Mus musculus: one gene and its partner. The protein of the gene in region 2 interacts with the protein of the main gene of each other region in a pairwise test. Links are inferred from orthologs where the notes say so. Each region holds a gene or a part of one and is shown on either strand. Other genes may lie near its edges.

Region 1 (3,823 bases), on a different chromosome or scaffold from region 2:
CTGTCTTCTCTCTTGACTTGTGAAAAGTCCAAGAAACAGAACCTCAATAGCTCAGGCACTAAGATCAACAATTAATAAATTGGACCTTATGAAACTGAAAAGCTTCTATAAAGAAAGAGACACCATCAATAGGGCAAAACCACAGACCGCAGAATGGGAAAAATATCTACAGCAACCCCACATCTGACAGAAGACTAATATTCAAAATATATAAAGAATTCAAAAAACTAGACATCAACAAACTGAATAATCCAATTTAAATGGATTATTTAAATGTGGTACAGTACCTAAACAGAATTCTTGACAGAGAAATCTCTAATGACCAAGACATTTTCAACATCCTTAACCATCTAGGAAATGCAAATTAAAATGACTTTGAGATTCCATCTTACACTAGTCAGAATGGCTAAGATCAAATGCTGGCAAGGATGTGGTGCAAGGGGACACTCCTCCACTGCTAGTGGGAGTGCAAACTCATCCAGACTCTTTGGAAGTCAATATGGTAGTTTATCCGAAAATTGGAAATTGATCTACCTCAAGACAGAGCTGTCCCACATGTGGGCATATACCCAAAGGATAATCCATCATATCACAAGGACACTTGCTCACTATGTTCATATCATCTTTATTCATAATAGCCAGAAACTTGAAACAACCTAGAAGTCCCTCAACTGAAGAATGGATTAAAAAAAAAGATGTGTACATTTAAATAATAGAATACTACTCAGCTATTAAAAACAAGTTCCTCATGAACTATGTAGGCAAATGGATGGAACTAGAAAATATCATCCTGAGAGAGGTAATCCAGCAGCAAAAGGACAAGCATTGTATAGACTCACCTACAAATGGATCTTAGCTGTAAAGAAAAAGATAATCATGCAACAAACCACCAACCCAAAGAGCCTAAGTAACAGGGAGTTACAGACTTAGAGAGGGGTCACAGGGAGTCTCTGGGGAAAGGGAAATAGAATAGATTTGGGGAGCGAACTGAGACAGGTGGAGTTGGGAACCGGAGGGATCAGATTCATGGGGAGGGAGGAAGAAAAGACTGGGAGAAAAGACTGGAATTGGAGGCCATTTGGGGGAAAGGTGAAAACCCAGTGCAATGGAGACTCGATGAAATTTACTAGAGAAACCCTAGCCAAGACTCTAATAATAGGGGACACTGAGCCTAAGTCAGCCATCTGCCTTAACTGGGCAAAAGGCCTCACTCAAATGGAGGGATTAGGACACCAACCCAGCTACAAAACCTTCATCCTACAACTTGCCCTGCCTGAAGAGTGTGCTAGGACGACAGCCTAGCAGAATCATTATTGAGAGACCAGAGACTTCATCCAGCAACTGAGGGGAGCAGATATAGAGTCTGACATTCAAACATTAGGCTGAACTCAGGGAGTCCTGCTGAGGAGGTGGATGGAGCGATTGGAGGAGCCAGAGGAGTCAGGAACAGACCAGGAGAACATGGCCCACAGAATCAACTGACTGGGACTCTGGGGACTTGAAGAGTACAGGGAGCCTGTAGGGGGTTTGACATAGGTCCTTGGCATATATGTTATGGCTGATTAGCTTGCTGTTCTTTTGGGAATCCTAACGTGGAAGTGGGGGCTGTCCCTGGGTCTCTTGCCTACTCATGGGACCCTGCTTCTCCTACTGAGCTGCCTTCCCCAGCCATGATGTGATGGGAGGTACTTGGTCTTGGTCGTATTGTAGCTTGTTATGTTGTGTTTGGTTGATGTCCCTGTGAGGCTTGCTCTTTTCTGAGGGGAGGTGGATTGGGAGGAGAGGAGAAGTGAGGGGAGAGAGGTGGAAGGGAGGGAGGAAGAGGGAACTGCAGTCAGGATAACCACCAACCAAAGAGCACACATGGTAGGACTCATGGCTCCAGCTGCATATGCAGCAGAGGATGGCCTAGTCGGACATCAATGGGAGGAGAGGCCCTTTGTCCTATGAAGGCTCTATGCCCCAATGTGGGGGAAGGCCAAGGCCAGGAAGAGGGAGCGGGTGGGTTGGTAAGTAGGAAGAGGGGGGAAGGGATAGGGGAGGGAGTTTTTTTGGAGGGGAAACCAGGAAAGGGGATAACATTTGAAATGTAAATAAAGAAAATATCCAATAAAAAATATTAAAGAATAATAAAAATAATATATGAAAGAATACAGATTAAATTAAATAAATAGATTTATTTTCAAGTAATGACAGTAATAGCTCTAATATGTATAAAGTAGTTACTGTATAGATCATAATTCCATTATGTGCCCTTTTAAATTATATTCTTAAAGGCAGCAGCCTGTTTTCAGAAATTGAAATATCCTTAAGGTTCACAACCAGTAAGTGATTGAGCTGTGACTTGAGAGCAAGTCTTTCTGAATCTGGGATCTACAGCTTTTAGGCATGAAGGAGAAAATAGCCCTTCCTTCTTTATCTATGCACCTTTGTACACAATTACCACTATCACTTATCTCAACATGGAGGGAGGGAGGGAGGGAGGGAGGGAGGGAGGGAGGGAGGGAGGGAGGGAGGGAGGGAGGGAAGCAGAACCCCTAGAGCTGATAATCAGACCTTAGCAAGTTAACTCAGTTACATGGAGAACTATGTTTCTGTTTGTGGGTTGAATTATTAGTTGGGCTCCTCTCCTAGATTCTAGCTCCATTGAAATTCTCTGTCCTCAGGATTATGTTGGGGACCTTGCAGCCCAGATTTCCAGTGATGAAGAGGAGGAGTTTGTAATCGAGTGTTTGGGAACGCTGGCAAATCTGACAATCCCAGATCTAGACTGGGAACTGGTCCTGAAGGAGTACAAGCTGGTTCCATTCCTCAAAGACAAACTAAAGCCAGGTCTGTGTTCATTGTAGAGCTCTGCATAAGCTCTAGGTTTGGATAAGATTCTAGCCCAGCATTGTGTGAGTCCACTGTTATAACTAGCATGCTCTTCTGACAGCTTTGTTTTGAGGACAATTTTCTGTAAATTCTGTATTTGTCCTAACAGTGGTTTCTTAACATTAGTTTCCCTCTCCTGTTTATTTTTCTATTTTTACCATATGTTTATTGATAAGTGTCCCCACCCCCATGTATACAGAAAGATGTGGAAGCACAAACACAAAATTCTTTGAAACATTGACAAGAGTCTTTTATTGTCTGTTTTTGTTATCTTTCAGTTGTATTTTCAAATATATATTTACACCTTCTATTGTCTCACCAAGTCAATAGGCCATCATGAATAAAAACAAAAAACAAAACAAAACAAACGGAGAAGAAAAGAAAAGAAAAAAAAAAAGACAAGTTTATAAGCATGTCAAAGATTGGTAGATCCATAGGGATGGATTTGAATCTTTCAGTATTTTTTTTCTGTGCACTCACATTTGATAGAACAAATGAGCTTGCTCCAACCACGTCAACAACAACCTTCCATGCCTTGATCCCGCCAGGTGCCGCAGAGGATGACCTTGTTTTAGAAGTGGTTATCATGATTGGGACGGTGTCTATGGATGACTCTTGTGCTGCCCTACTGGCCAAATCTGGGATAATCCCAGCCCTCATCGAGCTGCTGAACGGTAACTCTCATGCTCTGCCAACGCATACAAGATACTATTATACATTTTAACACATAAAATACAGTCTGCAATGTTATATAATATCTGTTTTCTTTCATTAATCATAGGATTAACTAAATTATGTAATTACAAAAGATAAACTAAACTAAGCTGCTGAGTTGGATTGGATAGAGTGATATGAAAGGCCTGGAGGTTGCTGTCGGGAACGTTACTGTGAAGCAGCTCTGGGCTGACTTCATGTGCTCCTCCCTCCTCTAACCTCCAACACTGCCTCA
Region 2 (2,898 bases):
GGACAGCAGGGAAAAGGAGCCATGAGCAAAAGCAATGAGGGAACTAGTGCTCTGAGTGTTCTGGTGGCTGAGGGCAGGTCTACTGCAAACATGGGCATCTCCATGAAGAGAGGACTTGGTAGTACCTAGTGCTACTGGAAAATGGGGCTGGAGTAGACTAACTTGAGAAACCACTGAACCACACTAGACTTGGAGGGTGTCCAGTGAAGATGACACCATTGGGACAGGGTAGTAGTCTTCAGCTTTTCTGGGTTCTACATCCAGATTCATGGAGGGCTCTTTGACGTAGTTAAGACGCCTCTGCAACAGGAACTGCTTTAGCTGCTAAGTCAGCAGTTTCCAGCTGGGTATGGTAACACACGCCTCTTAATCTCTGCACTCAAAGTAGACGACTATGGCTTGGAGTTCCAGCATAGTGAGTTCCAGGTTAGTCTCAACCACATAGCAAGACCCTGTCTCAATTAAGCTTAATTGTGAGGACGTGTGTTTGATCCCTAGCACCCATGCATAAAAGCCATATACAGTGCCCCGCACCTGTTATCCTAGTGCTGAAGAGGTTAAGACAAGAGAGTCCCTGGGGTTCACTAATCAACCAGCCTAGTTGAATGGACAAGTTCCAGATTCAGTGAGAGACCCTATTTTGAAAAAATAAAAATAAGGTGGAAAGCAACTGAGGAAGATACCCAACATGTACCTCTGAAGACTGGCAAGGAACCTTCCTAGGTCATCAAAGGGCTTCCCTTCCAGTGTCAGGGCTACTCAAGTGTGCACACACACCTCCCTCCCCTCCCTCAGCCATCTGGTCAGTAACCAGGTTGTCTATGCTGACTATCTACATGCAGGTACAGTGTCCCTTTTTCCTAGCAGAGGAACTGGCTATGTGCTCAGTAAATGATAAGAAGCAGGTCAGGGAGAGGAAGAAGCAGAACTAGGGGCTTCAACTGAAAACACAAGTCCTTGCTGGTCAGGCTAGGGACAAAGTGGTAGCAAGTCTAGGAATGGGAAGTACCCTGGATGCTACATGCTGCTCGGCTTCACTGGAAAAGCAGAGATAACTATCACAGCAGTTGGACAAGAGTTCATTCAAATGAAAAACAAAAAGGAGAAGCCCATTCACACTGGCTTTTTGCCTCTACAAAGGTTCTATGGGGGAGATGACATTTACCCCAGTAGCCTAAGAACCAGGAGAATTTGCCCCTAGGCATGTGTCTTGATCCTACCCCCAGGATCAGCGAAGTGGAGCCCAAATACTATGCAGATGGGGAAGATGCGTATGCAATGAAGCGGGACCTCACGCAGATGGCTGATGAGGTAAGAGTTCAGCCAGTCCAGGGCAGCAATTCCAGCAGCAGGGGAGATTCTGTACTTGGGAAAGGTGGCTACTTTAGAGCTGTGAGACTGAGTGAGGCAGTGGTGGCTAGAGGCAAGACCAAGATTGAGTGTCAGCCCTTGTCGTTGTAGAGCCCCTCTTTCCCTCACTTCCTAAGCTGTCAAGTTGTGACATGGCCTCTGTTGACTCTAGAGGGGGCTATGGGATGCTTTCTAGGGAAGAAGCCTGGAGGTGGGTGGAACAGGAGAGAGAGTAGGAAGATATTTTTCTAGGGAGAGGGACTACTAGGGTCAGGGGCAGCCTGCTCAGATTTAGGACTAAACTGGGCTAGGGGGAAAGGGTCTCTGACCAAGCCTCCTGGGGAGGTACTGCTCTGTCTTGGAGGCTCCCCAACAGCACATTTGAGGGCAATAGGACCTTTGTCATTTTACAGATGAGGAAAGCAGGCTTAGGGCAGAGCTAGGATTGAACTACATTTCTACCCAGTCCTATTTCTTGCCTTGGCCCTACCACTTCTCACTGTGTCCCTTCCCCCAGCCAGCCTCAGGGCCTGGCTCCTCTTGTCTCCTGTCTGGAGACTTAGGCCCTGTCTCTTTCCACCCGCTTCCCTCTGGGCTCCTGGCGGCAGCTGAGGCGGCACCTGGAGCTGAAGGAAAAGGGCAAGCACATGGTTCTGGCGGCCTTGGAGAACAAAGCGGAGAACAAAGGCAACGTGCTTCTGAGCTCAGGAGAGGCCTGTCGTGAGGAGAAGGGCCTGGCTGCTGAGGATAGTGGTGGGGACAGCAAGGACCTCAGTGAGGTCAGCGAGACCACAGAGAGCACAGATGTCAAAGACAGCTCAGAGGCCTCTGACTCTGCCTCCTAGAACCTGCCCCACCTGGTCCCAACCTTGCCCCATGTGCTTTTACAATAAATGTCACCCAGTGGCCTTGGGAAATTTGTGAATGTGCATAGTGGGGTATGCTTTTTTTTTTCCAGTTCCTATGTGTCAGGGATACTATCTTCACAGCCTAGACTGTATTGAGCTCACAAGTCAAAACAGATTTGAGGATGGGACCCCAAATCTGACTATCTTCAACAACTGAGTTGAAGTTGGCAGGTAAACTGTTTTGGGTGCTATATTCTTTTTTTGTTTTTTGTTTTTTTCTGGTTTTTCGAGACAGGGTTTCTCTGTGTAGCCTTGGCTGTCCTGGAACTCACTTTGTAGACCAGGCTGGCCTCGAACTCAGAAATCCGTCTGCCTCTGCCTCCCGAGTGCTGGGATTAAAGGTGTGCGCCACTACGCCCGGCTGGGTGCTATATTCTGATGTCACGTGTCTGGCCTATAGGCCTCATTAATGTCCTTTTTGTCCTAATGTAATTTTCTAGGGCTGAACAAAATGATTTCCTGGGCTTTCTAGTCAGCCTCACATTTCAGAGGCAGCTCTCCTACCTTGATGTTCTTTGCTGTACTGCTTTGCCCCCTTATGCCCCTCTCAGCCCTTTACCCTAGGTCATACTTGTTCTCATCAGTAGGAGCTTCTGGAACCCCAAATGCCCAAGTCCAACTGCTCATTGCACTTATCTGG

The links.
Region 1: the proteins of Naa10 (region 2) and Kifap3 interact in binary tests that used the Homo sapiens proteins (3 or more experiments, as listed by UniProt). The two-hybrid records come from large-scale screens. The link is inferred for Mus musculus from reciprocal best matches to the Homo sapiens genes NAA10 and KIFAP3.

Annotation. Positions count from the first base shown.
Region 1 is NC_000067.6:163,859,289-163,863,111, forward strand, and holds part of Kifap3 (kinesin-associated protein 3), read left to right. Parts: intron 1-2,666; coding exon 2,667-2,832; intron 2,833-3,422; coding exon 3,423-3,548; intron 3,549-3,823. UniProt on the Homo sapiens protein: Involved in tethering the chromosomes to the spindle pole and in chromosome movement. Binds to the tail domain of the KIF3A/KIF3B heterodimer to form a heterotrimeric KIF3 complex and may regulate the membrane binding of this complex.
Region 2 is NC_000086.7:73,916,256-73,919,153, reverse strand, and holds the end of Naa10 (N-alpha-acetyltransferase 10), read left to right. Parts: intron 1-1,201; exon of another isoform or gene 1,202-1,226; coding exon 1,227-1,311; intron 1,312-1,867; coding exon of another isoform or gene 1,868-1,958; coding exon 1,959-2,195; 3' UTR 2,196-2,284; downstream 2,285-2,898. UniProt on the Homo sapiens protein: Catalytic subunit of N-terminal acetyltransferase complexes which display alpha (N-terminal) acetyltransferase activity. Acetylates amino termini that are devoid of initiator methionine.